2 linked regions of the Oryctolagus cuniculus genome follow. The protein of the gene in region 2 interacts with the protein of the main gene of each other region in a biochemical or structural test. Links are inferred from orthologs where the notes say so. Each region holds a gene or a part of one and is shown on either strand. Other genes may lie near its edges.

Region 1 (15,421 bases), on a different chromosome or scaffold from region 2:
CAAAACTTGTTTGCCCTCAGTTGTTCACACGACGCTCTGTTTAACTGCTGAGGCTGGCAGGTTAGTGCAGGGACTGTCCAGAGAGGGACACCACTCAGAATTCACTGACTACATACGGACGGGACGTGGTCTGCAGGTGGGAAAATACGATGGCCAACCTCCCCGGCAAAGGGGCACACGCTCAAAGACTGGCAGAGTGTACAGGGCTCACCTGGTGACCAGGGTCCTGTATCTCAGGCAGGAGGGTGCAACGCCCCCTCATTTAGTCACCCTGGAGGGTTCCCTGCGCCTCTGGGTCTGCACGAGGTGCTGCCTCTTTGCTTAAGCTCTTCCGTGCCCTTTCCTTCCTGCTTCAGGGGCAAACACGCCTTTCTCCAGCAAGGGCAGGCCTCGTGCGGGGCTCCTGGCCCCACGCACTGGAGGTCTCACGCAGGGTCTCCACTGGAGGTCTCACGCAGGGTCTCCACTGGACCTTACTGAGCAGTGCCGTGGCCGCGTTCCCAGGCTAGACGGCAACGTCCGCACGCGCTGTCTGCTGGCGCACCACTTCTTCCCCAGCTCCCACACGGCGCCTCCCACAGGGCGGGACTTGGACTGTTGTCAAGGATACTCCTGGATGAAAGGAAAATTAGTAACATAGAGCATGTGTGAAATAATTCCACAATTAGTTCCCACGGCTATTTTGCTATTATTTTGATTTTCAGTATTTTCAAAGTGCTATAGTTTTTAACTTTTGCAGTTTAAATTATCCAAAAAACTAAAAAAACCTCATGCCAAGAATGTGTGAATGCAGTCAGATTCGGAGCAGGAACTGAGACCTCAGGTCGCTCAGTCTTCCCGTGAGAATCAGACACCTGACAATGAGTCCAGCAGAAGTGGCACACACAGTGACATCACATCCTAACACAGCTCTGGGAAGTGTAAACTAAAACTGCCCCTGGAGAAGAAAACCCCTCAGGCTACCAGAAGTTACCAGGACAAGAGCTACAAGGAACTCCAAGGCCACCAGTCAGCCTCCTTTCTTCCAGGTCCCTTTTTGCTGGGATGATGGGACCAGGGTCTACAGGAAACGCCTTTCCCCAGCCTCACCATCCACCCTTCCTGCAGGTGGACGCACCTCTACGTTCACGGTGGCCCTACCTGCCGCACCCAGGTTTCCAGACAACCCCTGTGGCCCCAGAATGCTGCCTGCTATCTCCCCGAACATAAACTGCTCATCCTCCCCACCACAATGAGCTTCAAGGGCCAGGACACAGCCTCCGGGCAGTGGCCCTTGACCCTGGCCACACCACAACCCCTGCAGCACTAGGAAAATCCCAAGCCCTGGACACCTGGGGATCAGCAGCATCAGAATCGCGGTGCAGGTGGCTGGGTATTTGTCCAACGCCAAAGTCTTCCGCTACTCAGGGAATAAATTCAATTCTGGCTTCGTAAGGGTTTTTAGGAATTAAGTTCCATAAACATTTATGCTGAATTACTTCTTTTATATTTTAGGAATTAAGTTCCATAAACATTTATGCTGAATTACTTCTTTTATATGTTTTGTAACATTAGGATTAATATTTCTGTGGACTTTATTGCCTAAGTAAATGAAAAATAAAGTATGTCTGTCAAAACCTAGTCAATCTAAACTGCTTTTAAATCAATGAAAAGTTATAATATGAAAATTACATGGAGCCTGCACTGTGGTGTAGCGCGTGAAGCTGCTGCCTGCAGTGCCAGCATCCCATATGGGCGCTGGTTCGAGACCCTGCTGCTCCACTTCGATCCTGCTCTCTGCTATGGCCCAAATCCCTGGGCCCCTGCACCCACGTGGGAGACCTGGAGAAGGCTCCTGGCTCCTGGCTTCGGACTGGCCCAGCTCCGGCCATTTCAGCCAATTGAGAAGTGAATCAGCAGATGAAAGACCTCTCTCTCTCTCTCTACATAACTCTTACTTTAAAATAAACAAATAAATCTTTTTAGGAAGGAAGGAAGGAAGGAAGGAAGGAAGGAAGGAAGGAAGGAAGGAAGATAAATTACCAATTTGACACCACCAAGTCAATAAAGGAATTTGGAATGATTTTGTAGCACATTCTATGAAATTGTGGCAATATGATGCTCCTTATGATGAATCATTTGAAAAATTATTGCAACTTGAAGACGGGATTTTGAGGGAAAAACAAATGGCCAGGAGTATGGATGAGCTGGGAATCAGGAGACAAGTCAGCTCCCAGGAGCCACCTGGGCCCTCATGGAACCAGCACTTGGCACACACACTATCTCAACACATGGGTGCTGGGGCTGCTACAGGTTGAGTGCCCCTCACCCAAAAATCTGAAACTTGAAATCTGATACTTGAAATCTGATACTTTTTTTTAAACATTTATTTTATTCATTTGAAAGACAGAGTTACAGAGAGAGGTAGAGACAGAGAGAGAGGTCTTCCATCCACTAGTTCACTCCCCAGATGGCCGCCGCAACGGCTGGAGCTGCACCAATCCGAAGCCAGGAGCCAGGAGCTTCCTCCGAGTCCCCGACTTGGGTGCAGAGGCCCAGGGACTTAGGACATCTTCTACTGCCATCCCGGGCCATAGCAGGGAGCTGGATCAGAAGAGGAGCAGGCGGGACTAGAACCTGCGCCCAGATGGGATGCTGGCACCTCAGGCCAGGGTGTTAACCTGCTGCACCACAGCGCCGGCCCCCTGATACGAAATTTCTGAGCACTGAATTCCAGAGGGCTTTGGAGTTCGGATTTTTGGATTAGGGATGCTCTCAATTCTACATGTAAATATGCCAAAATCCAAGAGGAAACAGTCCAAAATCTGCACCACTCTGGTCCCCAGCACTCTGAACAGGGGACCAAACTGTAAGACACTCTACATAATCATTCACATCATTTATTCACTTCTCTCACTACTCTGTTTCATTCCTTTTGGAGTTCAATACTGTCCAGTTCTATAATCAGTAAATGTTGTGAAACTGAACTTGTAAATTTCACTCCAGTGTTAAAAATTGCAACCAATCTGAAGATCTAAGTGGCTTTTATTAGCAATTCGTGAAATGGGCAGCATGTCTCTTAGAGAGGGTAATTTGTGAAATGGGCAGCATGTCTCTTAGAGAGGGTTCTGGGAAGCTGAGCAGAGGAGGGGCTTAACAGGGAGGAAGGGCGGCAGAAGCAGGAAAGGGAGAAGAAAAAGTGGATCGGTTGTTTCCAAGAGACTTTCCTTACTTGGTAAAACAAGGTCGGCCCCGTGCATAGTGGGGAAAGCAGTCACCTGAGACACTGGCATCCCATATGGGCACTGGTTTGAGTCCCAGCTGCTCCACTTCCAATCCAGCTCCCTGCTAATGGCCTGGGAAAAGCAGAGAATGGTCCAAGTGCTTGGGCCCCTGCATCCATGTGGGAGACCTAGAAGAAGCTCCTGGCTTTGGGCTGGCCCAGCCCCGGGCCGTTGCAGCCATCTGGGGAGAGAACCAGTGGTTGGATGACCTCCTGTCCGTCTCGTTTCCTTTCTCTTTGTAGCTCTTTCAAGTAAAAATAAATAAATGTTAAAAAAAAAAAAAAAAAAAAAACCACCTGAAGGGAAACTTCCGTATCTCAATGGTTTGGGTAAACCAGGTCCCCTCTGAAGTCATTGGCTGTTTAGAAAACTGGACCATCTCACCGGCACCGTGGCTCACTAGGCTAATCCTCCGCCTTGCGGCACCGGCACACCAGGTTCTAGTCCCGGTCGGGGCGCCGGATTCTGTCCCGGTTGCCCCCCTTCCAGGCCAGCTCTCTGCCGTGGCCAGGGAGTGCAGTGGAGGATGGCCTAAGTCCTTGGGCCCTGCACCCCATGGGAGACCAGGATAAGTACCTGGCTTCTGCCATCGGATCAGCGTGGTGTGCCGGCCATTGGAGGGTGAACCAACGGCAAAGGAAGACCTTTCTCTCTGTCTCTCTCTCTCACTGTCCACTCTGCCTGTCAAAAAAAAAAAAAAAAAAATAGAAAGAAAACTGGACCATCTCAAGTCCAGCCTGCTTATGTGGCACCTGACACTGGTGCCTCCATTCTGGTTTGGTCTGGTCCGCCAGCTTAGTGTAGGCGTTTAGTGTAAGACAATGGCGTCTCAGACATTTCAATACACAACAGCAAAATACCACTGTACACTGGGAAAATCTGAGAGCAGATAGGTCCTAAAGCCGCTCGTATGTCTGAAATCCCATAACCCTAAAGCACTAGAGGTGTGACGTGGAGATCAAGGCTCCCGAGAGCCAGCGACGGCACCAGGGAGGAGCCAGGGACGAAGTCTAGCAGCACAGGCAGCGTTTCAGCCCTGTGGAGGGGACCGAGACACGAAGGTGTCACTGGAGAAGGAGGTATGACAAGCACGGCCCAAACCGCCTGTCTCTGTAACTGAACCCGGAGGAATCCCGACTGGAGCTGACCCATCTCCAGCCCCGCTGAAATCTAGCATCTCACCATGATTCAACTATCTACTCGAAGGAGAAAGGAAAATTTAGAAATTTGAACTTATGAAACGTGACTGTTGAGAAGTGTTAACAGGGCAAACACCTAAGAGCTGATTTTAAAATATCAGAAATTGTACTTCCAAAAATATGTGGCATCCTTAACATTTATTCTTTAAAATTACTTATTTATTTGAGAGGCAGAGGGAACAAATCAAATGCTATCCACAGTCTCTCTCAAAATGCCCACAATGGCTGGGGGGGGGGGGTGGGGTGGGGTGGAGAGAGCTGAGGCGAGAAGCCAGAGTTCAACCTGGGTCTCTCACGGGGTGTGGGGATCTAACTGCTTGAGCCACCTGAGCCATCAGCCGCTGCCTCCCAGGACCAGCATTAGCAGGAAGCTGGAATCGGGGGCTGGAGCTGGGAACTGAGCCCCGCCACTCAGATGTGGACTGCAGGCATTCCAACTGCCAGGCCGCACGCCAGCCCCTCAAAGCTGGACTTATGTGATTATTTTTTTCAGGAAGAATTATCTCGTTCTGAGCGTCACTGTTCCACACTCTGGGCAAAACCTCTCGTTTCAAGCTGCTCCCACACTCGGATGTATTTTCTTTCAAATATACCTTTAGATAACTGCACTTTCTGGGTGAATTCAGCTGTGCAGGGGTAGGGAGACTTTTCCCTGCCAAGGGCTGTTTGGGTATTTATAACATCACTCACAGGCCACACAAAGTTATCCGCTTAGAAATCAGCCTGCTACAGATTTACTGAATTTCAAGTCCTGCCGAAGGCCTCCTTGGCAAGGACAGACCACATGGTTCCACGGGCCTTACACGGTGTGCTGGCCGGAGAAGAAGGACTTTCATGTATGATTTGGAACCTGGCTCTTACTGAAACAGAACTTGGGTTTTCCACTCCGTGCCTGTGGTGAGGCTGTTCTTCCAAGAATTTGTATTTTCAGAAAAGTCTTACACAGATCAAGGGAAAGAGAACGTTGGGGCTCACCAGATGTGCATGCTAATTTAATTATCGATTAACTGATGCCCACGTCCCGCTACCATGCATGAGGGTCCCTCCAGAAAACGCACGTTTGGATGCCCCTCTTCCTACAAACCAGTGTGCTTTTCCATGTGTGATTTCATCGTTCAGTTCCTGGCCCAAGGGGCAAATCTTTAAAGGAAAAATGGGCATCTCAGACATTTCAGTCTTCCTGTGAAAAAATGGTTCTGCCAAAAACATGGTATTTCCCCAAAATACACGCCAACCCTTGACAAGTCAGCCTGTCCTGGAGTGGCTCCTCTCCCTCTGCAGGCTCAGCGCTCGGCCACCCTGCCGGGGTCCCCTCCTCCGGGGTCCCCTCCTCCGCTATCCTAAACGTGGCACCTGCAGGTGCTCAGTGCTCAGTCCCTCCATCCTGCCTCTCCTGAGATCTTCGGTTACTGCAGGTAGAGTTCCCTTCTCTGCAATGCTTGTATTTCAGATTTCAGGGTTTTTCTGATCTTGGAAATTCTGCAGGCTGGGAGCATCCCATTCCAAACCCCAAAATCAATGTTAAATGTGACGTTTTGGACATTTCAGGTTTTCAGACGAGGGACACTCAACCTGTACCCCCACCTTTAGGGCCTGGCTCTCTGCTGGGCTCAAGTCCCCGATGCCTCCTGGAGGCCCACAGGCCCCTTCCACGCAAACTCAACCCCTTCCATCCGCCCTCAAACTGGCTTTCTCCTGCACACCCCACCTGTCTCAACCCCCACCCCCCACCCCTTCCACCCTGGACACCTGCTGCAGGCGCCTCCCTGAGTGGCCGCATCTTGGCCCATCCTATGCCCACTGCCTTCTCAAAAGCCCTCAACTCTCCTAGGATAAAGTCCCCAAACCCATCAGCCGGTCTCCCTGGCTCTTCAAGATTGACTCCCGGGGTCTTCTCACCTCTGTGTCCCATAAATTAAACTCTTGGCTTGCTTTCTTTCTTTTTAAAGATGTATTTATTTACTTGAAGGTCAGAGTTACACACACACACACACACACACACACACGGGGGGGGGTCTTCCATCCATTGGTTCACTCCCCAATTGGCCACAATGGCCAGAGCTGCGTCAATCCAAAACCAGGAGCCAGGAGCCTCCTCCCGGTCTCCCACACAGGTGCAGGGACCCAAGGACTTGGGCCATCTTCCACTGCTTTCCCAGGCCACAGCAGAGAGCTGGTTTGGAAGTGGAGCAGCCGGGACTTGAACTGGCGCCCCCGTGGGATGCTGGCACCGCAGGCGAGGGCTTCACCTGCTAGGGCGCAGCGCTGGCCCCATAAGCTCTCGGGGGCACTTTAAGGGTGCCCAGGATGTGCTCCGCTTCCTCCCACCCGCCCGCACCCTTCCAGACAGACACCAGCAGCCCCGGAAAGCCTCCCGCATGTCGACTTCGGGGTCAGCCAGCGCGGCCGCACGCCCGGTCTGCCCCGGTCAGGGCGTCCACCTCCCCGCACGGCCGCCTGACCTCGATCAGGAGTTTCCCAGCACAGGACGGAGCCCAGGGCCCAGCTAAGCCATCCACGGGTAGCTCGTGTGCACGGCGCTGGGTATGACCGCGGGGGACAAACGCCACCCTTGGACCCCACCTGCCACAAAATGTCCGTGCATGTTTCTTCTATACACGGAGGAGGAAGGCTTTCTTTGAGGACACTGGACACGGTCAACTGTGATTGAACCCCAGCCCAGCCCATCCCTCGCACACTGCAGAGCAGCCAGGGACCTCCCCGCAGCCCCGCAGCCCCGCACCGCTCCCGTCCACGACGCCGGCCGTGCTTCTCGCAGCGTCTGTCAGGAGCAAAGCTCCCTCCGGAGGCCCTGCCGCGGAGCCCGCTCCAAGGTCACTTTCCAGCCGGCCACGACCCCCGACGTCCCGGCGCCCGGTCCCGGGCCATTGCGCGTTCGCCGCCTGCCCCGTCACGGTGAAGGCACAAACGTCGGGCCGGCGCCCGGGAACAGCCGCCGGGTCAGCACACCGCCGCGGACCCAGGAGACGCCTTCCCAGCCCGAGTCCGCGGCTCGCTCTCTCTGCCTTCCCCTCACACACGATTCCGAAAGGTCGCTACCCTTGCCGGAAAGCGCCCGGGCCGGCATCACCGGTCCTCCCTCCCACCCCCAGCCCGGTGGCTAACGGGGTCTCGGGGAACCACAGAGCGACCAGCGCCAGGCACCTGCGTCTCCCAAGCGCTGGGGAGCGACGGGTCAAGGCTCGCAACTGCCGCCTCCACAGCCTTTACGCCCCTCAGCCTGCCGCACGCACGCCGCCCCCGCCGCCGAGCCCAGCGAGAGCACCCGGTTACCTGCCCGGAACCCTGCTCACGGAACTCCGCACTCGCAACGCCATTCCATTGAGCCCTACCCTCTCCGGGCCACCGTAGTTCACGGAAAGTACACGATGGCCCCTCCCCCCGCATGCGCAGAGGCCGCGTTCAGCGTACCGCGTCTCTTAGCAACCGCTTCGAGTCCCCCCCGCCAGGGGCGGAGCCTCGGAAGCCACGGCGGGGAAGCCGCGGTGGGGGGGGGGGGAAGCAAGTGAGACCAATCAGAAACGAGTCCCAGCCCAGATCGGCACGCCTCCTCCAACTGTCGCGAATGCGCAGGCAGCTTTACGGCATCCAGGGGGTGGGGGCTGCCGGGGTAAGGAGGAGAGAAGGAAGCAACCAACCAACCAAGTCGCCCCCACCCCCCACCCCCACCCACCCCGGACCTGGTTTACGGCTCCGGGCTCAGGCTCCAGGGCGGCCGCTGATTGGTCGCTGAAGGCTTGGTCCCATCCCAGTGACCCCAAAGTGCTGGAGGGAGGGGGCGGGGGTGGCCCAGTGCAAAGTGCATCCCGAAAGCCCCCAGTCCGGAGACCCCGCTGCTGGCACTTGGGCCCCTGTATGACCCGGGACCTCGCTGTCCCGCGACCTCCTGGGTCCCTCCGCAGCTGGAAGCCTCCGGCCCGGAGTGCGGCAAGCCCCTGCTCCGAGCCCCTGGCCCGGGACTGCCCCCCCACCCGAGCCGGGACTTCCTCCCTGCACCCCTGCCCCGAGGCTGCCCGGCCGCCGGGACCGCCGCCCCGCGCCTGCTCGGCGGTGCGGATGCTCGGCGGCTCGGGGCCGTGAGGGGAGCCCCCGCGTCCGGCCCTGCCTGGGGTGTTTCTTCAATGGAGAAGTTGGCGAGTGTGGAGGAGACGCAAAGGAGGGAGAGGGGCCGCAGCTGAGGGGACAGGTAAAGTCAGTTACCTCCGCCGGGGGGCCGGGGCCGGCCGGGAGGGTGGGCGGGGGCGAGCCCCCTCCTCGCCGCTGCTGTTTTCCAGGTGGGAGCCGGCGGCGGCGGGGAGCCGGGCACCAGCATCTGCGGCCAGGTAAGGAGCCGGGCCTCCCCTCCCCCATTGTTCATCCCTGCCTCCCCCCCCCCCGCGCGGGGCTGCATTTGGGGGGCAGTTGCCTGGGAGTGCACCCTCTCCCGGCCCCGCTGCCCACGCGTGACCCCGGCGCCCCGATAACTCCTGCACGCCGGAGCCGGCTCTCACCCCTGCGAGGGCCCGGCCCCGTGTGTTTCCGCGTTTTGCATGAGCTCTGCCCTGTGGCTTTGAGAGGTTTCGGGTAGCGACCCCCGCTTCCTTGCTCTCGGAGGAATTCCTCAATTCCGTGTTAATTGCTCGTTAATTCTGAAGGACCCTGCGTGTTAATTAACCCGCAGTTTACTGCTCTCCCCGACCCCTTCCCGTGTCCCCTTGCCTCTTCCTCCACCAGGAAATCTTTGGGGTTTGCTAGGGGACGGCCTTTGGTAGGGGAAGGGAAATTAATGGCTTGTTTTAGGAAATAATTTTGATTTTTTTTCCTACTAAGAAGTGGATCTGTGCACCTTCCTCGTGCAGGCAGCAGTAGTGGGAGCACTTGGGGACCGTGAACTCGGCTTCTGGGTGACCGATACAGGTGGACTAGGAAGGGACTGGAGTTTGTTACACCGAAGATCTTCTAGAACTGATAGAATTTTGCACAATGTGTTATTAAGTCATTTGACACTCAAAAAATTAAAAAAAAAAAAAAACACCAAACCAGAGAGATCGTTTGATGTGTTGAAGTATGTGGGGCTTCCAGTGGCAACACTTCGTAAACGAGATTCTCGCTTCACAGCTCTTACAGACTTTGCGTGTCTAGTTCACGTGCCGCTGCGTGGTGTGCCGCTGCCTCGCAGATCCGCCCAAGGTAAGTGAGCGTTAGTGTCGTCCCCGCGAGGCGGACTCGGAAGTCAGGTCTCACGGCAGCCGCGACTTTGTCACCTCCCGTAGCAAGAGTGAAAGGCAGCCTGTTCGCCTCCGAGTTGTTCTGATGTTGCTGACCACTTAGGGAATTTCTGGCGCAAAGACGTTCTTGGGAGAGATTCAGATTGGTGACTTCCTCTGGGTCACTAGACCTTCTGCTCCCACGACGTCTCTGCTGATTCTCTACATGTGGCTGAAGACACTGTAGCGGGGTCTGGAGACCTGGACGCCGTGGGAGACTTGTAACGAGGGTGCTGCTCCGAGGGAGGATGTGGGAGACTTGTAACGAGGGTGCTGCTCCGAGGGAGGGTGAAGGCAGCCTTGGGTGTGCGTGTGGGGAGCCAGGGGTAGCTCCTTTTCAGGTGCACTTGTGTTTGTGGCCGTATGGAGATCACCAGAGACATCGAATGATTAAAACTCTGCCGTGCTAGAGCATTTGAGGTGTGTTTCCTTTGCAAACCTTTTCCTGTTTCACGTTTAGTCAGCATCTGAGGCACTAGGTTTCTGGGATGTTTACTTTGCTGAGGGGTTTTGCCAGCTAAGATGGTAGGCGAGGGACCCAGGGCCTCTCCAGCTTTGAGGTAAAGAAAGAACCTTGCTTTCTCCGGTTGTCTAGCCAGGTCGTTCTCACTGCTTCAGCAGTATTTCGTGTGCCCTCTCGATTTCTCATGCTTTTTCTAAGATTAGGGAATGTCCAGTAGAATTGTCAGCGTCTGTCACGTTTCTAATGTTAGCATGATTGAGAATGTTTGATGTAGGTGAAGCCGAACATCTGAAATATGTGAGTATTTTTATTTACCGACACGGTCAGTTAGGTAGTTGATGTGTTTCAACCTGGCGGTTACCTTGGTGTTAATTCTGTTGCCAGTTGCTTGGTTTTTTGGGGGAAAAATAAATCATCTGGTTTGCTTGGTAACCAGACACACATCTGTGATCACACAGGGGATAATGGATTCTGTTGTTGTTGGAGAGAGCTTCCATCCTCTGGTTCACTCCCCAAAGGCCTGCAGTGGCCGGGGCTGGCCTGGGCTGAACCAGGAACCTGGAACTCAATGTAGGTCGCCCACAGGGGCAGCAGGGACTCAGCTTCTTGAACTTCCACGGCCGCCCCCAGAGTCTGCACTGGCAGGAAGCTCCGATCAGTAGCCGAAGCCGGGAATCTAACCCGGGCACTCGGATGCGGGCTGTGGGCATCTTCGCTGGTATCTTAACTGCCAGGCCGAGCACCTGCTGCAGAATTGTTTTTAATGGAAGATATTCAGCGATACCTGTTCAGTATCACTAGATGTATTATGGCCAAGACTTGTGCTTTCTATACTGAAAGTGATGTCATTCTCAATTAGTCAGCGTGCTGCATAAGGTGTGTCTATTTCATTCTCACTTGACTTTGGTGGTGCAGAGGTTTAAACCATCTGTAAAAAGTCCAGGTTGGGTGGAGTTGATATTCTCATCGCTGCTAACCTGAGTTCCAGCCTCTCTCTTCACTCTGAGCAAGGGAGGCGAAGCCAAGTGCACTCCCCAAGTGGAGCGATGGCCTCTTTCCCACAGATTCCCTAGGCAGCGACATAGGAGGCTGCTAAGCCGATACTGGCAGACGTGGTTAATAAGACAGGGCCAACCAGACCTCGTCGTTTATAGTGTTTGTGACTTAAGCTTCGAGCTGGATCTGGATAAGTGAGTTTTCAATCTTCCTCTATTGCCTCATCCACGTTTCATGAATGTGTGTGTTTTTACTGGAACTCGGGTGACTCATAGATAAGTCGTGGATAATAAATCCTGAGGTATACGGATGCCCAGTAACGGGGCGGAAGTAGAAATCCCCTCACTGGCTTAGGAACATCAGCCCTTGGTTGTAGCGAGTGACGCTGACATAACACATCGACTTTCTTTTGGGTGCTGGGCCCTCGAGCACACCAGGAGGGCTGGGCAGCCCTCGTGTGTTTTGGTCTGGCCTCTCGGTGTTTGCTGCAGGATGTCCGAGAGCCACTGACTTCACTCCCTTAGCGGCCTGCACCGTGATTTACTCTGCTGCCTTGTTCCTAGCTGGTGTGCAATCAGAAGGCACAGTTCTGATTTGTGTCACCTGCTCAGAAAATGCGTGGACTCTCAGTGAGAATAATAAACAGAAAAACCATACATACCTTAAATACCACAAATACCATGAATCAGTTATTCCAGAGAAACGAGATGTGCGACCAGCCTTGGTGACGGTTGTGTGATGCTGGGCAGGTCTTGAACACCCCTGTTTCATGGTTGTTTTTACCATTCGCCTTATCCTATCAGCATAGACTTTTTTCTGTCCACTGTAAGAAGTGAGAAGTCTTACCTTTAAATGAAGTTCACGTGGCAGCTCTATGGAAATCAGGTGGTAATGTATTTAAATCCCTAAATTTGTAGTTTCTAATATGGTCCAGGGTATAAAAGCTGGAAGCCTGTTTTCTATTGATCTCACGTGGAGTGGGAAAAGATGCATTAGCGAAACCGACGCATAGTATTAGCATTGGCAGTGAGACTTTGGGTAAAACGACGTATGTTGGGAAAATGGTTCATTTTGATTGTGCAGGCTTGTTTGTGTGCAGCTTTTTTGTTTTCTGACTGAAGCCTGGAGTCTCTGAAGACTGTCCTCTCCTGGGTCCACAGCCACCCTGGTGTAGGACGGCTGACACGTGCATCCGCTGTCGGGACACTGGCCTCCTTGGCCGTGTCCCTTCATTGCGTAGGTGGCTTGCAGGACCGTATTAGATTTTGAAGCGTGCGCTCCCTCAGGGGGAGTGGGGCTTTGCCGGTTCTCATCTCTGGAATTCCTCGGTGGCTTTTAATAGGCGTCTTTACCATTGGATGCTGCATTTGCTTTTAAATTGCAGTCTTCCCCGCCCCTTTTCTGTGCACAGGTGAACAGCTGTACTCTGTTAGATGCAGATCTCATGAAATAGCCAGAGGACACTAGTCACTTGACTGTTGACGGTTCTCTGGTAAATCGTTGTCCTCTGTGATTCCAAGTGACGAGGTGGCCGGGGTCATGTGTGTGTCCCGCACGTCTTACCCCATGAATATCAACACACAGGCACATGCCACAGGCGCTGTTTTGGTTTAAACCTATGGTGATTATATATAAATAATCTTAAAGTTCACTGGGGGTCTGCAGAACACTGTGTTAGGACATCACACAAAGGTGACTGCCGTGGCCGCGACAAGCACCGGGCCGCGCAGGCCAGGTACTCAGCGGGCGTTCGTCTGACTCCAGTCGGTCGCGTGCAGTCACCACAAGGGCTCTTGTTTGTGCGTCTTGCTTGTGTGAGAAATCATTTCGTCGCTCATCTTGCACGCCAGGCCTTTTCCTGGCGTTACTACCAAGTTGCTGCTGTTTTACCCTCTCGGCCTCCGGCCTGCGTGCCCCTTCCCATTGAGCCCAGCTGCCTGTGTGCGGTGGTGACAGGGAGGCAGAAGCCAGCAGCGCCCCTAAGGATCTGGGCGGGAGGCAGAGGGTGTGAGGGCACACAGGTGGGAGGCGTCCGGGGTGGTCCTGCAGCTCCCGCGGGACGATCGCAGGTTCCGTGCGGGAGGCAGACGGTGTGAGGGCACACAGAGACGGGAGGCGTCCGGGGTGGTCCTGCAGCTCCCGCCGGGACATTACGCAGGTTCCGTGAGGGAGGCAGACGGTGTGAGGGCACACAGAGACGGGAGGCGTCTGGGGTGGTCCTGCAGCTCCCGCGGGAAAGGATCGATCGATCACAGGTTCCCTGTGGGAGGCAGACGGTGTGAGGGCACACAGAGACGGGAGGCATCCGGGGTGGTCCCGCAGCTCCCGCGGGACGATCGCAGGTTCCGTGAGGGAGGCAGACGGTGTGAGGGCACACAGAGACGGGAGGTGTCCGGGGTGGTCCTGCAGCTCCCGCGGGACGATCGCAGGTTCCGTGCGGAAGGCAGACGGTGTGAGGGCACACAGAGACGGGAGGCGTCCGGGGTGGTCCTGCAGCTCCCGCGGGACGATCGCAGGTTCCGTGAGGGAGGCAGACGGTGTGAGGGCACACAGAGACGGGAGGTGTCCGGGGTGGTCCTGCAGCTCCCGCGGGACGATCACAGGTTCCATGCAGGAGGCAGAGGGTGTGAGGGCACACAGAGACGGGAGGCGTCCGGGGTGGTCCTGCAGCTCCCGCGGGACGATCGCAGGTTCCGTGTGGGAGGCAGACGGTGTGAGGGCACACAGAGACGGGAGGCATCCGGGGTGGTCCTGCAGCTCCCGCCGGGACGATCGCAGGTTCTTCTGCAGGAGCGTGTGAGCTCGTCATCAGAGACAGTTCCATTTTAGAAATAAAGTTCACCGTAGGTTTACAGAAGCTAGGACAGAGGTCACGTGTTTTCCATACCTGCTTCCCGTCTGTCATTGGTTCACGTGGCCCCACCTTGGCAGGGGTGGGGACTGTCCATGCGCTTCTGAATTTTAGAACAAGCTTCCTTTCTCCTCCATTTTTTAACTGAGGCAGTTATTTATTTGTGTCAGTATGAACTCACTGAAAGTTACGTGACACTTTGGGTTTCCATCCAGACTTCCTGAAGCGCTTCCTTGCCCAGATCATCCCGCCTTGTCCGTGGGAGCTCTCTGAGCTGGCTCCTCCGTCCCTCTGTCATGCCCCGTCCTGCCGCTGTTCTGTGGGCGCTTCCTTGCTGACCGGTGTACAAGACAGCACCAGGGCCAGCCTCCAAGTTCCTGCCCAAGTCTTAGAATCCGGCACGTACGGAACGTGGTTCTGTGCGTTTTACACAGTGCCTTGTAGGAGTCAATCTGATCGTGTCGAGCTCATGTAGTTAGAAATACTAGAGTTTTAAATCCCATTCTGTTTCCAAGTACAAGTTGGTAAGCTCTCTGCCTTCCCTGAAGAAGTGTGACAAGGGAGAGTCAGGTGAGAAGAGAGGACGAGGCAGACGGGGCTGTGCCTGTGCCGGGATGGAGACCTGCAGCCGGCGGGAGGCCTGGCCCTGCCTCTCCTGAAGGTGCAGGTGACAGAGGGCTTGGCACACCACACACCACGCAGCGGTGCGGCGGGGCTCCCATACGTAATTCCTGCTGTGTGGAAGTCACTGTGCATGTGGCCCTAACCCTAGTGGAGCGCAGAGCTAGGATTTCGTCGGCAGGGAGGAAGCGCGCCATACACATGAGTGTTCTCAGAATCCCGGGGAAGCTGGCAAGACTGTTAAGGTTTTTCTGAGTCTGCCGTCTTTCTTCATAGAGGAGTCCGTTTCAGCATGAGGGGCTTGGTGTCTTCGGAGAACACGAAGAGTGGCTTTTAAAGGTAGAATCACCGCAGATTGCTTTTTCGTGCCGGCCACCTTCTGTATCGAATGCACAAGCTTTCTCGTTTTAGTCCTCTTTAGAGAGAATAGGTGATCATGGTGTCAGAAACAAGTGGAGCCAGTCTGGGAATATATTCTCAACAGAGGAAGAAGAATTCGTGCATACCTACAAGTCCTGAATGTGTGATTTATTCTTTTCTTCACTTAATCTTTTTTGTAAAGCTGCCATCCGGTGGGAGGGAGGGATCCTGAAAATAAATCACGTTTGATTTCATCTTGGAGATTAATACGTAAGTGACGAAAGCATTTTGTCAAAGAACTGATCTGCGTCCGCAGCCCTCTGGATTTGCCGTCAAGTGCCGAGACCCCGCGGGCAGCTCTGGTTCTGGATTCGCTCAAGGAGTTTCCCACGGTTCTTACT
Region 2 (15,488 bases):
CAGAGCCCACGTCCTGGGCGTGTCCAGGGAAAAGGAGGCAGGTGGGCAGGGCAGGAGGAAGCGCCCAGCAGACAGGTTTCCAGCCCAGCCGCTGTGGCTGAGTCCTGGACAGGGACACGTTTTCTGGGGTGAATTCAGGAGACAGGGAGGGCTGAGTTGACAGGCTGCGGGGACCTGAAGGGCACTCGGTGCCTAGAGCCTTCTAACTCCGCTGTTCTGGGCCGTTTTAATTTTTTCCCTCCACTGGAAAACAAAGCAACTACTCATTCTGTAGTCAAGTATGTCCATCGTTAATTCTCGTCTTTAGTTCGGTGTTTGTCACAGTTCCACCCAACACACCAGAGAGGGAGTTCCCGGGGAGGCTGGAATGCTGGAACCCTGGAACCCGCCCGAGTGACTCAGTCTCTCTCAGCCTTAGTTTCTCTGCCTGCACAATGAGGGCGATGATAACAGCGGCTGCCTAATTGAGCTTTTATGAGAATTAAATGAGTTAACACTTGTAAAGTGCTTAGTGCAGTTCCCAGTAAGAGGCCAATAAACACTGGCGCTCTCGTTGCTACTGCATGTGGTGGCAGGAGCACATAGAGAAAACGGAAAGCGCGGCCAGAAGGCAAGGAGGCCGGCAGGTCGCTGAGCCCCCAAGTGCAGCCACGACCTGGCCGGGGAGGGCACCGCCTACCGACTGCTGCCTAAGCGGCTTTGGGGCGGGAGGGGCTGGGAAGGGGCACAAAACTGCAGACTGCGAGGAAGAGCGAAGAGTACAGCATGCCTTGCCCTCGCCAGCCGCCAGGTGGCGAGAGCGCATGCCTCTGCTGCGGCTTCGCCGTTCACGACCCGCCCGCTGGCTCAGACCCAGCCCACCAGCTCGTGCCACCTGCCGGCCATGCCTAGGTGGTTACCTAGGTTTGCTGACCTTCCATGCTTCGGTCAGAGCCAGAAGTCCACAACGGGCCCTGCTTACTGAAGCTGAGAAACACACCTGAGGTTTTGGTTTTTTTTGTTTTTGGCCTCATGCTACATTTCTCCAGAGCCAGACACTGTGTTTTGCCTCCCACCGCCACATCCATGCTTGGAATCCCCCAGGTACGTGCAGTTGCTGCAAGAGGCTCAGGCAGAAGTGGAGGGCTGGGCAGCTGTCACCGCGATGCAGGGGAATGCGTTCAATGAACCTTGAGATCAGCAATAGAAACAGAAAGGGGAAAGCGCCAGGGGCAAAGTGAGGCCGGCCAATGGGGCTAGGGGGTCTGCGGGCCCCTTCAGACATAGGTAGAACTTCCTTTATAAGCAAGCTATCAGCTGTGGCTGGAAAGCATGTCTCTAGGCCAACCGGCATCTCCCTCACTAACAGTTCCTTGTGCTTGCATGTGTGACCCTGCAGCCTTGAATCACACCTTTGGGTGGGGGCAAGCTTTCACTCAGAGCTGGCAGGGGAGGGGCTGAGCACCTGGGGAGAGTCGGACCTGCTCCAGGAGACCCTGGCTATCCTGTGTGACCTTGCGGTTTTAAATAATTCCTTCAAGTTAGTTGCAATCTTCCACCCAGAGCTAGCAGAGGAGGGAGCTGAGCCCCTAAGGAGACGGACTGTCTCCAGGAGACCCTGCTATCTCCTTGAGCCCCAAGCCAATCAACATACGTATGTGAAACCCCTGTCCAATGGGCATCCCCAGTAGGATGACCCAATGAACAGACGGCAATGCCTTAAAAACCCAGACACTCCCTCAATGCCGGTGTCCCACTCGGGCACTCCGCCTGCTCTCCTCTCGGACCAGACGCTTTCTCTGTCACTTGCCAATCAAAAAAGTTTCTTTTCTAATAAAAGTTTCTGGCCGGCGCCATGGCTCACTAGGTTAATTCTCCGCCTGCGGCGCCGGCACACCGGGTTCTAGTCCCAGTCGGGGCGCCGGATTCTGTCCCGGTTGCCACTCTTCCAGGCCAGCTCTCTGCTGTGGCCAGGGAGTGCAGTGGAGGATGGCCCAAGTCCTTGGGCCCTGCACCCCATGGGAGACCAGGAGAAGCACCTGGCTCCTGCCTTCGGATCAGCACGGTGCACCGGCCACGGAGGCCATTGGAGAGTGAACCAACAGCAAAGGAAGACCTTTCTCTCTGTCTCTCTCTCTCACTGTCCACTCTGCCTGTCAAAAAAAAAAAAAAAAAAAAAAAAAAAGTTTCTACCTCTTTGCAAATTCCCGGCTTTTTATTTCTATACTAAGCTGAGGAAAAGAACCCACCAGACTCACTCCGACAACCACCCTCCCCTCCATGACCAGTAACACCAGGAAGGCACTTCAATGTCTAAGCAGGGTGCTGATGGGGACAGACCATCTGGCATTCCCATTTGCCTGCTGCCTTCCTTAAGTTATGGCCAGGCCTTCAGGGAAGGAAACTCCCTCAAACCTCACCAGGGGGACAAGGTTGATCTAATGTTTAAGATACCTACACAGGGGCTGGCGCTGTGGCCTGGCAGGTAAAGCCGCTGTCTGCAGTGCTGGCATCCCATATAGGCGCCAGTTCTAGTCCTGGCTGCTCCACTTCGTTCCAGCTCTCTGCTATGGCCTGGGAAAACAGTGGAAGATGGTCCAAGTCCTTGGGCCCCTGCAACCACATGGGAGACCCGGAGGTGGCTCTTGGCTCCTGGCTTCAGATTGGCCCAGCTCTGGCTGTTGCGGTCATTTGGGGGGTGAACTGGCAGATGGAAGACCTCTCTCTCTGCCTCTCTGTAACTCTGCCTTTCAAATAAATAAATATATCTTAAACAAAAAAAGGTATCTGCAATTCCCATTGGAGTGCCTGCATTCAGCTCCCAGCTCTCACTGCAGACCACAGCTTCCTGCCAGTGTGGACCCTGGGAGGTAGTATGTGATGGCTCAAGTGGTTGGGTCCTTGCGTGGGAAACCTGGATTGAGTTCCTGGCTCCTGGCCTCAGCCTGGCCAACGCCCAGCTGTTACAGGCATTTGGGGGAGTGAACCAGGGGCTGGCAGCTCTGTCTCTCAAATAGAAATGAAAATTCATAAGGAATGAAGTCGGTTCTGGTTGCAAGTGTCCAAGGCTGCCTCCAATAGGAGACCCTAAACTAAAACTGTCAATTGAGTCTTCTCTATGCAATAACCCCCCACCATCTGGTACCCACATATTTTCTGAATAAATTAATGAAATGCTCTGCTGTGTACAAGTGACACGACCAGGGCAACGAAGAGGTGTACAATCCTGGTTCCAGCCCTCAAGTCCGGTAGGGGAGGTGAAGGGACACAGACGACTCGCATGATGTAATTGAGAAAGTGACGAGGTATTCCATTCCAACATCTGCTGGGGCACGCGGGGAAGCTGACCACGACCAGAAGGCCTCCTCTTCCCCACATGCAGCAGGCTGAGAAGCTGATAGGTTCCTAAGAGGCTCCATTCAGGACAGAAGTAGCTTCCCTAGGTCAGGGCTTAACAGCCTTCCACACTAAATTCAGCTGTGTGCAACTTTGATCTGGAACTTCTAACACTATGACTCCTGGGGGAAAGGCGGCCTGCTCCCATCCAATGGCAACAAGGGGGTCGGTCGCAGCCTAACTACTGGAGTGTCAAGGCCCTGGAGCCTCTCGGAGCCTCTGCCCCGGCAGGCCTACCCAGGCTCCTTCACCAAATTACAGAGAAGTTTAACTCAACTTTGTTAGAAACTGAGCAGATTGACTTTCAGGTCTACAGAGCATATAAAAATACATTTTATTTTAGAAAAACGCAGACTAGTGGAGTACGCTTGTCACAAACTGGCTTGTGAGAACTCACGGAATTCATAGGAAACGAGTTCTGGAGCCCAGGTGCCTGTCTCCAGCTGAGTCCAGCAGAGGCTGTGATTCAGGAAGCCTGCTCCTCCGAGAGCTTCAAGGTCAGCCCCAGAGGCCGTTCACAGGTAAATCACACGTCTGCATCCAGGCAGGAAGACCAACCTCTGGGGCGGGAGGCACGAGCGGAGGTGGATGTGGACCCCGGCTTGCCTGCCATTCTCATTTGCTGGTTGCTAATTTCACTGCTGGGGAGTGACCTCTTTTTCACTAATCTTCTTTCAACCCAGAGAGTTTGAGTCTCCTCCAGCTCAGCCCTAATCCACCTCATCCTCTCTGGTCTCTATTCCTGGGGACTGGCCCTGGTGGTGTCTCTTCCTCCCGCCCCTGGGCCAGAATCGGCTGGAGTCAGGACCTGCTGAGTGCAGACGAGTTCAGGCAGTGAGTGTAGTGCTTTGCTACCGAGTTCTTGCTTGTGGTCCCATCTCTTTACCTAAAGAGACAGCGGAGCATCCTTAAATTGCCCTTCTTCCTCAGCCCAACCGTCACCCAGCTGGGCTCAAGCTCCTCAGGGTGGGATGAACAGGATCCCTCCTACCCCGCTCCAGGCCTCCCTCCTCACCTCCCTTTTTCCAAACAGAATTCAAGGCTGACGTGCATATCAGCTTGGAAGTCCAGATGCTAGGGATGGTGCATTGGGGGAACCAGTCTTACCTCGTAGGTCCTGAGACTGCAACTTTCCTGGAGGGCTGCAGACTGTTCCGAGTGGCACCAGTGACAGGAAGATTTGGTCGCTGGGAAACTGGAACTTGATGGGGGCGGTGGGGGGAGGTTTACCAAAAGAGATAAATAGCAGAAACTTCAATTGACTTCTCAAAACCAAATCCCCAGTGAAGGCAGAGTGGGTCGGGGATCGGTATCCCCTAAAAGGTTAAATCCATGAGTATTTGGAACTCAAGGCTAAAATTCTTTGCCCAATCCCACATTCTCTTCTTAACTCAGCCTCCCCATCTCCAAATAGCATGGAAATACAGACAGTGGAAGAGGTTGCTGTAGCCAGCTCTTGCAGGGTAAGGTCAAGTTGGTCTGGTATAGGTATTCTTCCTCCCAATTTTTTACCCTCATGTCCACCTCCCCTCACCTCTGTGGCCTGCAGCACTTGGTCTGGGAAGCCCTTTTCGTGTCGACACAGAATCAGGAGGCAGGGCACCTTTGCCAGGTGGCCCACTCCGGCTGGCGAGTGGCATGCGGCTGGCAGGTCTGGGAATGGCCGAGGGAATCGGCAGGCGACTGGAAGATTTGGCAGCTGCTCCCTGTGGCCGGGGCGGGCGCTGAGAGTTGCTGGTAGCGGGCTGTGGGGCCAGGACCGTTCTGACAGGGGTAGGTTGGCCTGGTGGAGAGGAGGAGAGGAATTTCAGGGTTAGCTCCCCATCCTCCCTCCTCCCACTCACCCCCAGCTTTGCGGCCCAGGAGTTCTCACTTGCTGTCGCTCTCCCACCGGGCCCAGCCTTCCCCCGGATTGGAGGAGTTGATCGGGCAAGAGGAGAAGACGCTGGGCTTTTGGATGCAGGGAACAGATTGCAAGTGGGCGATTCCTGAAACACAAAGAGAGGGGGACAATGACTAGAATGGAGAAGGGATCAGTTCTGTGAGCCCAGGGGCTTCGGGGACAGAGGTTGGGAGCTGTTGAGACCACAGCAAGGAAGGACGGAAGTTAGCTGCTCATGGACACTACAGAGCTGGTACCCGGACACTGTGGCAAGCGCTTTGCTGTGGCATCTGTACCTCCAACAATTCTAGAGGGAGAACTTCCTGCCCCCGAGAGCAGACCACTCGATGCCTGCAGCATGTCACACGCAGTGCCTGCAGGCACACATCCCGCTCAGTCCCCCAAACTCACCCTCTTGAGGCCAGAGGGCCTCTTTCCAGATGCTGCCCGAAGAGCCTTGGTGGAGCCCTTCTTATCGGAGCTCCGGTGTCGAGGCGTCAGGCTGCTGGGGGAGGGTGTGCTCCAAGCCAGAGAGCTCACCGTGGGCAGCAGGTCTCGCACAGGACTGTCCTTCAGCACGAAGGTCTCTCGCCGGGGGCTGGGCTTCACCCGGCGGGACCCCAGGCTCTCGCCCGCGCTCTCGCGCTCCTGCAGGGCACACTGCTCCAGCTGGGCCGCCAGCCTGTTGGCCTCATGGAGGATCTCCTCCAGCTTTTCTGGGCTGAGGGGGCCCAAGCTGAGCCTCACACCCTGGGGCGCAGGGGCCACTGCATTCAGGTCACTTCGGTGGGAAAGGCCCCGTCGGAGTGGTTTCTCTGGAGTTGCCAACGCTGCTATGTCTTCCTCCTCGCGACTGAGACAGAAAACAAGGCACCATGCCCGCACGAAAGAGAGCAGGAGACAGGGACTCTGTGCAATGGAACCTGAACACCCCCCCAACACACACACACACACACCACAGTCCTGAGGTCCATGTTGGCTTCTGGGTGACGAGATACCTGGTTCCCTGAGGTCTAGCAGGGCTTTTACTCTTTACTGACATCACAGATGATGTCAGAACGAAGATGCAGCGAATCTGCTGCCTTTCTTAACATTCTAAAATCAAACTCCAGTTTCTCCCTTCTCAGCTCCTCATGGGTAGCATCAGAGAGGCTGGAGTCAGCCACCCAGCAGCCTAAGTGCACCAAAACTTGCCAACCCAAGCTCCGGGGCCAAGGACTCAGCAGTGAGCAGAGAGATACATAGAGGTGGTGTTGGAGGAAAACAAGTGGGATCAAGAGGCTGGTACCTGTCCGATGGTGACAGCCCTCCAAAGTCCAAGGTCTCATCCACAATAAACTTTACATCTGGAGGCCAAGAAGATTGAACGCCAGCTGAAGGTCCCTGACGGGGCTCTCAATCCCAGGGACTCATCTCCCCCCTCCCGCCCCCCAGGGTTTCCTTACCTTCCTCCAAATTCTCCATGTCTAGCCAGGAGAGCGAGTCAGTTCTGATCTCGGCTGGAGAAAAACCGTACTTTTGCTTAAGCATCCATGCTGCCCAAGGCTCCCGCTAGCCTCAAGGTGCAAGCCAGGGGCAGGGGTCAGGCAGGAGGCAAAGCGAGCGTCCCGGAGTAGCACCTGGGCCTGTATCTCCCCCTCCCTCTGGAAAAGTTGCAGCGAGCTGTGCCCGGAGGCTGTTTGCACGTCCTCTCCTTTTCCCCACCAGTATCTCCTGGGTTCTTCCTCTTCCTAAGCCTCCTTTCCACCCCGCGGCCCCACATCCACGCCACACCTCCAGCCCACCTGTTTCCACTCCCTACCCGACCTCACCATCCACAGAAGAGGCTTTGCTTCCACAACCTTGTCCCGGGAATCGGCTCCTGGGGGCGGGGCTCCTTTCGAATCTCTCAGGCCCCACCCACTCCTGCGGCACGAGCACAGTGATTGGTGGATCATCAGAGGTGGGGCTGAGGCGGCCGGCCGGAAGTCTGCAGGTGGGGGCCGGACCTGGAGCAGGTCCCAGGATGACTCCATCCGGGAGAGCGCGAGCGGGGCGATGGGGCAAGACCGCGAGCGCGTGCGCGCGCGCGTCCGGGAGACCTGGCTTCCACCCCCAGGCGGCGAGCAGAGGGGAACCTGGCCCAGGGGGGCGGGACCTCGTGGCGGCGCGCGAGGGAACGGGCCAATGAGTGTGGGCTCAGCGCGCCGCCGCAGTCGCGCCAGGGCGTTATTGGGCGGCTGTTCCGCCCGCCGCGGCCGCGGTGAGGCAGCTGAAGACTGCTGCTTGTCGGTGGGTCGTTGAGAGCAGCCCTCGGCCAGAGCGAACGCGCTCAGCTTGCGAGCGCCGCGTCTGCCAGGTTTCTTCACGTGTTTTTTTTTTTTTTACAAGTTAAGGAAGTAACTAAACATGGCCATTTTAGGTCGGCTCTTGTTGAGAGGTCTCCCAAGACGTACGTCCTCCATTACGATTTTAAGCAAGAACTTTGGAACCTGAAGCAGGCGAGGTGTGAAGGAAAAATTATGTTTTCTCACAGGGAAACTGAGGTTCGAACTCAACCCTGACGCTTCCGTTTATGAGCGGGGCGGGCTTGGGTGCAAAGCGTCCCGGTTGTCCTGACGGGGACTACGCGCGGCAGGCGGGGCTTGGCCCGCGGCCCGGCAGGGTTAGTCGCAGGCTCCCTCCGACTCCGACTGAGAGCTTGTGTCGGTAACGTGGAAGCCTGCGTACTAGGGATGTTGTCTGTAAATGGGCCGGGTCAGCTGTTAGCGATGCCCTGAGACAGGCTGAGGCCTTACCCCGTCAACAAAGAGCCCGAGCTTTAGTCCCCGGAGTTGGTGACCCGGAGGCGTCTGTGTTTCCTGTAGTGTTTAGCAGCAGGAGTGAGCTGGTGACTGTCAGAAATGCCACCGGGAGCCAAGGAGCCTTGGATCTTAGTGGGGTGTTAAAGGAAGGTGCAAATATATGTGAGGAATCCCAGCGGGGGGAAGAGGATTGGTGTTGGCTGCACGATTCGGGTTCTAAGTGATGTAGGCAGCCACATAGGATCAAATCAGGTTCCTAAACTGGAGACCACACCTTCACCAAGCCCCTGTGTGATCTCATGCCCCCTTAGGTGACCTCGCCTGGACACCTACCTGCCGATCAGACGATGTAACCACTCCCCCCTTTGGGAGCAAATAAATGGGCCTGGAACACAGTGGGCTCACTCTTGCTCCACACGCCTTTGGGGCGTGGGGCCTACTGGCTTGCTGTCTGCCTTGCTTTGCTGCTGTGTTAAGCTACCTGTGGCTGCTCATAACTATACGCTTGCTCCATGTGGCTTGCTCCTGGCCTGCTCTCTGCTTGGTATGGACCCAACTTAGCTTCTTTCTCCCCTAAATAAAGCCCTCACTCTTTTGCGCGTTTCTCTCACTGAATAAAATCCTTAAAAACTTACCATGTTAAAAAAAAAAAAAAAAACTTACCATGTTTGGTCTATTTGAGCCAGTATTTAGAATTATTCTCTGAATATGTGGCAAGAGCCCACAGGCTTATGAATATAGAAAATTATTAGTGAGCCGTCCGATATCATAAGGAGGGTGAGAAAACCAGAGCTAGAAGCTTCCCTGTGTCCAGGCGAGTAGTAGCAAAGTGGAGAGGAGGTTGCAAGAGGCTTCCTTCCCTTAGTAGCAGACCGGAGTAGGGAACTCCTCTTTGCACCCAGTCAGGTGACCGGGGAAGTAAGTTTTAGCAAATTGGAGGTGAGTTTCTTTTAAGGAAATTCATCTCCAATTTTTCTGTCACCAAGTTTTTATTTGGAAAGCTGTTGCAGTACCAGCAAAACAAAAACAAAAACACTACTTTTTCCTCCATCAAAATAACAGTAAAGCCGAAAAGTATAGATTTCAGGTACAAGAGTTCTTCTCTCAGCATAAGGCCACTATCTGGAAATATTTGATGGGTGTTGCGCTCACCTCACCCTAAGTAGTGAGTGTTTAAGATTTTGCATGAACGTGAATGAAGAAAGAAATCACACACACGGAGAGCCCGGCACAGGTATTCCACAAATGTCATGTGTATAGAAGAAAACATTAAGGATGCTGTGCCTGTGCAGATGCAGAAGGATTGACTGGGCCTGGAGGTCTTGCTCAGTGTGAGGACTTTATTCCTTCACTGTAAAAGTTGAGAACATACGACTGTTAAGGGATGGCCCTTAAGTAATTCAGCAGATAGCAAAGGCAGGGACTGAGGGCTGAGGCCCAAGGTCTGACTGGTCCTTAGAGCGTCATAACGAGGTTTTTCACCCCTTTCTGACCTAGACCCTGCTTCAACTAGAGGAGACCTCATAGCCCCTCTGTACCTGGCTGGCACTGCAGTCTGACCCTTCCCCCTCCATTCTCAAGCAGAGGTTCTGTGAGTACAGTAGGTCCTGCAAATGATTTGCATGGTTGTTTTCTCTGTTTTCCTGAGGATGGTGCATAACTAGTAACATTCTAGGTTCATCGGAAGAAGCTGATTTCTGACATACATGGATGCCTTATGGCCTGGGGGCTTCATTCTCATGGAGCTCCAGTTGAGAAGGGATGGAATAGACACATTCAGTTTTTCACTTGAAAATGGATGTTTGGTCTGAACAGAAAAGCCCTTCACACTGTTCTCAGCCAAATCATATTCCTTTCCTCCTCAAAACCCTGTCTAATGTTGTCTTCTACAAATATTTTCTTTCTTAAAACCCATGATTCCAACCTAGACCCTCTGCAAAGGTGGCTGGAGGATGGGGTGACAGAGGTGAGAGGATCTGGTTCAAATCATAGCTCTGCTGCTTGTCAGCTGCATGACCTGGGGCAATTTGTAAGCTTAAATTCGTGCTTGTAAAATGGAGATGAAAAGAGACAAAGCACTTAGTTCAAGCCTGATACATAGAAGGCTGGTTCAATTATCTATTATTATGTAACAGGCCACTTTCAAAATTTAGTGGCTGGAAACAGCAATCATATATTTGCTGTTGATTTTGCAGCTGGGGAAGGGCTTTGCAGGGATGGTGTGTCACTGCTCCACAAGGTGTTGACTGGCCTTGATGGGGGTGAAGGGTCCAAGGTGGTCACACCATCGAGGGCCTCAGTGCTGGCTGCCAGCTAGGATGCTCTGTTGCCCTCCACGTGTCCTCTCACAATTCAGCCATCTAGCCTGAGATTGTTTACACAGGAGCTGACTTCCAAGAGCAAAAGCAGAAACTACCAGCTCTCTTAAGGTATGGGCCCAGAACTGACAGAGCAACACTTTTGTTATATTCTTTTGATTGAAGCAAGTGACATGATTCACGGGAAAGAGACCTAGACCCCCAACTCTTGATGGAAAAAGCATCATGCCCAAAGATGGGAGCTGTCTTTTGTAGATTCCATTACAAAATGCCTTCAATATCTTACTTGTTGTAAGAATGGAAACAAAGATAAGGGAACCTCACCTTCAGGCCTCCCTTTCTGTTCTCAGTTTCTTCAGTACCATCTCAGCCCTCAGGTCTTAGGGCTCTGTCTTTAACTAACTATGCTTGTATTTCTGGTTGCTGTTTTGTGAGCCCTGTGCACTCTTATTACCCTAGAAAGCCCACAGAGGAAGAGAGCAAGTCATCTTCAATATTTCTCCTTAACACTCAGCACTGCAGAGGTGAATTCAGTTCTGTCATAGACTGTCTAGGGCAAAGGACAGCATCAGAAACCTCTGTGGAAGAGAATGTGGTTATGGAAAGAGAAGGAAGAATCTTAGGGTCCTGACATTCCAGTCAGGCTGAAAGATTCTAATTTTCACAATGTTTTCCCATATAGAAAGGCTCAAACAGATGGTTTTTTATGCACAGAGGATCCACACGTTTATTTAGATTAGTTCAAACCAGACATTGTGTTGAAGCTCCTTAAGAATAGTCTCGCCACAGGCAGGCTTCCTGGAGGCACTGAAAAGAGAGGGTCTGTTGTGGCCATGACAGCAAACAGCCAGGGCACATGTAGGACACTGAGACACTCCCTCTTCATGGGGCCTGGATCCCGTGCTATGGATTCACCACTTACCCTGCTTCATTGCTGGGCACTGGCTGTGAGAGGGGGAAGAGGGTAACTAACACTAACACAACACAGCATGAACACAGAGAAGGGGAAGCGGGTACGGAGAGAACTGTCTCCACAAGCCAGCTGGCAAAGAGAGCTCTCCCGTGAAGTCTGCACTTCTAACGCATCGCTTAGTGTTTTCGTTTGCTATCTATCAATGATAGGCTTAAACAAATGGTTTGTGGGATTGAACTCATTCTCAACTTTCATCAACCAGGAGCTGCAAGACATAGGGGACATTGGGAACTAGTCCTTTTTAATTTTCTCATGAGCTTTGTACACAATATTTCTGCTGTGAATGATTTAGAAGTTGAAGGAGCTGTCAAGATCTGAGTAATGATTTGAGTGTGAATGACAAGCTGAGTTACCCTATGCCAGTCATGTGCTGCCTGGAAACTACATATCCAAATATTTATTATTGCTATCCAGTAAAAATGGTGATTTTCTTCTCTTGGATGAGAAGGTATGCATAAACTTCAAAGTGAAACAGTAGTAAACTAATCTGTGTCTTATCATGCTTATGATCCCGAGGTGGGAGCACTTGATTGAGAGAAACACCCTCCTCTGTCCTTACCCTCCCTGCTGACCCGTGGTGGGGTGACTCTTGTCAGTTCCTCCACTTTTTTTTTTTTTTTTAATTTATTTATTTTTTTTTTATTTTTTTGACAGGCAGAGTGGACAGTGAGAGAGAGAGACAGAGAGAAAGGTCTTCCTTTTGCCGTTGGTTCACCCTCCAATGGCCGCCGCGGCTGGCGCGCTGCGGCCGGCGCACCGCGCTGATCCGATGGCAGGAGCCAGGAGCCAGGTGCTTTTCCTGGTCTCCCATGGGGTGCAGGGCCCAAGCACCTGGGCCATCCTCCACTGCACTCCCTGGCCACAGCAGAGGGCTGGCCTGGAAGAGGGGCAACCGGGACAGAATCCGGCGCCCCGACCGGGACTAGAACCCGGTGTGCCGGCGCCGCTAGGCGGAGGATTAGCCTAGTGAGCCGCGGCGCCGGCCAGTTCCTCCACTTTTCAGCTGTTTCCTTGGCATCCTTTCTTGCAGTAACTGTCCAACTCCCTCCCACAGTACCTCCCGTGAGGTAGCTGCTATCACTCTTCATTTCTATTACAAGCCCAAGGAGTACAAACATATAAAGGATGTGACAAACGTAAACTTCATCTATGATAAACTCCCTTCAGGGATGATAATATTAGCTTTTTAAAAAATGGCTAAAAAAAAGTAGTCACCGGTGGGTACCTGATAGAAAGGCTCAGAATACACATCTGTCCCAGAGTCGACAACATTAGCTATAAACGTGAACTAATCCATTGAGACACCCATCTCTCTTCTTACCTTTTATAGAGCACCATGTCCTCTTGGGTAGCTTCAGTGAGGAGCTGCAATAATTAAATCATTTCTTAATGTTAACATCTCAGAAATCTCTGGGAAACCTCAGAGCATTGGGAAGGAATATTCTCTTTCAGGGCTTTGGAGAGTTATGGTACTAGCTAGGGGAGTTATACAGAGAGAAGAATGGTACATGTAAATTCATGAACAGACATTTAGACAGTGCCCACCAGGGCTTGATTCTTGGGGGGGGGGGGGGGGACACAGGTAATGAGACACTTCCTGCCCTCACACTGCATACAGTTTAATGGAGAAAGAGACCTGAAACTAGGTCATTATGAAGCAACAAGCTAAATGCAGTTAAGGAGATTTGAATAAGGTAACAGGACTGGACAGATAAATGAATATTCTAAAAGGAATGGAGCTTGTGCAGTATTACCTTTAAACAAAGCAGAGGGGAAAGTTAAATAAAGCCTAACAAACAGCTGCAGCTTTCCTAGACTGAGTCAGAAGATATGTAGTTTAAAGGAACATGATCTGAGTGGAGGACCAGGAGATACAGGCTACTTCCCAACATAGTACCAGCTCCTCAGGTACCAGCCCTGGAGATCTTGAGTAAACCAGTTGCTCCCTGTGCTTTGTGTTTCTCCTCTGCAAAATGGAAATGTTGATTCTGTATTACAGAATTGTGAAGCAGAGAAACAAGATGGGGGACAACAAACGACTCCTCAGTCGCATCTCGATGATAACAGTGAAAGAGGGCCTGGAGAGAGAGACCCCTTTCGACCTGGGCTTATATCTTTGGTACCTCCTGACTTCTCCAGCCTTAGATGATTAGCACCCTGAGGCCACAGTTATCCTCCTGCCCTTACCTTTCACATCTACCCGACAGTCCACAGATGCCTCCCCCAGGGCATTAACTGCTTTGCAGGTGTAGATGCCTCCATCAAAGGGACCAGGCTTGCGGATTTCTAGGGAGCAGACTCCCAGGTGACTGAGAGCTCTGTACTTGGGATTGCCTTGGATATCCATCTTGTTCTTCAACCAGATGATCTTGGGCTGAAAGACAAAAGAAAAGCAGCAGCAGGGCTTGCAGTAAGAACAAATTACTCTGAGTTTTCAGTCTCTCTCTTTTAAGGATTTACTTATTTATTTGAAAGAATGACAAAGAGGGCGAGGGAAGGGGAAGTTGATTGATTTCCTGTACACTGCTTCGCTCCCCAAATGCTCTCAAAGGCTAGTGTTAGGGCAAGCCAAAGCCAGGAACCAAGAACACCATCTGGATCTCCTACACGGGTGGCAGGAACTCAAGTAATTGGGCCATTGTCTGCTACCTCCCAGGTACATTAGCAGGAAACCGGGACAAAAGTGTGGAGTATCTGGGACTTAAACTGGCACATTGATATGGAAAACCAGGGTCCCAGGCAGAGCTAAACCTGCTGCGCCCTATAATTTAGAAATAATGGCAGAAAGCAGCAAAGGATGGTCCAAGTTCTTGGATTCCTGCACTCATGTAGGAGACCCAGAAGAAGCCCCTGGTTTCTGGCTTGGCCTGGCCCAGCCCGGCTGATGCTCCCATTTGGGGAGTGAACTAGCGGATGGAAGACCCCCACCCAACTGTAGTTGTCAAATAAATAAATCTTTAAAAAAAAAAATGGCTTTCTGGAAGGCTCCCTATCCTTTATGTTGTGGGATAGGATTCCCTTTCCAGTGCCTCCAACATCCCCCAAGCTCCTTTTCTTGATTGAAAAGGGCACCTGGCACCTTGCCTTCATTGACTATCCCTGATGAGAAGAAAAGTGGTAATTTCTGTTCCGTAGTGCCTAAGCAGCCTTTCATGGATCATAAGCACTAGGGACAGGGGCTCCTCTTTTTTCATATTTGTACCGTGAATCATTCATAATCTATTCCCACTGTCAGCTTATCTTTGCTCCTGTCCCTTCCAGGTAGAAAGTAGTTTCCAGAGTACGCAGTCTGGCCCAGGAGTCATAACCCAAAAGATGTTTGTTAAAGATTGTTAATGGTGTTTTATAACACATATAGAGTGTAGTGACTAGATTGTAAATGTGCAGAGAGCCTTGCTCAGGGTACAATCAGAGGCTCAACTCTAAGCAGCCTGCATGCGCATGGCCCTGAACAGTTGGATGGGTCAGAAACCCATAGGACTCTGGCATTCCTACCAGATAAACAACTTGAAGCTCACACTCAGTTGCTAGCATATCAGTAAGTGACATTTTCATATATAAGGAACAGACACCAAAAGGAAACATCATTTGCATCAGTCTAACTCAGACTATAAGGACTCTGTTCGTAAATAACATGTTGAGGAGGCAGACAGATGTGATGGTAACAGATGCTGCATTAGAACTCTCTGTGGCATAGCTAAGGTAAGGACAGAATAGGAGCAGGCAGCAGCTCCGTACCACCACTCCCCAGAACACCATACTCACCCTGGGAGAGGCACGGACACAGCAGAAGAGCTGGGTGTCATAGCCTGTGATTGTAGTGCAGTCTGCCAGGGGCTGGGTAAACTTTGGGGCTTCAGAGAAGTCATGCTGGGCAAACCCCTTGCTCTTGTAAACAGTAGCTGCAGGCAGCAAGAGGGGACATGATGTAGCAGCTGATATGCCCCATCTTTCTTCAACCCCTTTCCCCCAGTCTTCCTAGGTATTGGCCTCTGTGCCTTCCTTACCTGCTTTCTGGATGTGGGCAAGGTCAGCAGTGATGGGGGCTGTCTCACTGAGTCCACACTGGTTTTCAGCAAAGACACGAAAGGCATAGGAATTGCCCACGATGAGGTTGGAGACAATGCAGCTGGTGCGATGATAATGCTCTAGCACCG

What was found.
Region 1: of the proteins of PSRC1 (region 2) and ASB7, one has a biochemical effect on the other in vitro, tested with the Homo sapiens proteins (2 studies listed by BioGRID, with this or other methods). The link is inferred for Oryctolagus cuniculus from reciprocal best matches to the Homo sapiens genes PSRC1 and ASB7.

The regions. Positions count from the first base shown.
Region 1 is NC_091443.1:9,932,331-9,947,751, forward strand, and holds the start of ASB7 (ankyrin repeat and SOCS box protein 7), read left to right. Parts: upstream 1-8,007; 5' UTR 8,008-8,669; intron 8,670-8,757; 5' UTR 8,758-8,805; intron 8,806-9,580; 5' UTR 9,581-9,652; intron 9,653-15,421. UniProt on the Homo sapiens protein: Probable substrate-recognition component of a SCF-like ECS (Elongin-Cullin-SOCS-box protein) E3 ubiquitin-protein ligase complex which mediates the ubiquitination and subsequent proteasomal degradation of target proteins.
Region 2 is NC_091438.1:61,139,527-61,155,014, reverse strand, and holds PSRC1 (proline/serine-rich coiled-coil protein 1), read right to left. Parts: upstream 7,132-15,488; 5' UTR 7,072-7,131; coding exon 7,059-7,071; exon of another isoform or gene 7,042-7,058; intron 6,757-7,041; coding exon 6,703-6,756; intron 6,604-6,702; coding exon 6,546-6,603; intron 6,111-6,545; coding exon 5,669-6,110; intron 5,364-5,668; coding exon 5,249-5,363; intron 5,159-5,248; coding exon 4,910-5,158; intron 4,577-4,909; coding exon 4,483-4,576; coding exon of another isoform or gene 4,479-4,482; intron 4,262-4,478; coding exon 4,258-4,261; 3' UTR 3,687-4,257; downstream 1-3,686. Other genes in the region: MYBPHL (myosin-binding protein H-like), read right to left, coding at 13,481-13,705, 15,097-15,233, 15,339-15,488. UniProt on the Homo sapiens protein: Required for normal progression through mitosis. Required for normal congress of chromosomes at the metaphase plate, and for normal rate of chromosomal segregation during anaphase. Plays a role in the regulation of mitotic spindle dynamics.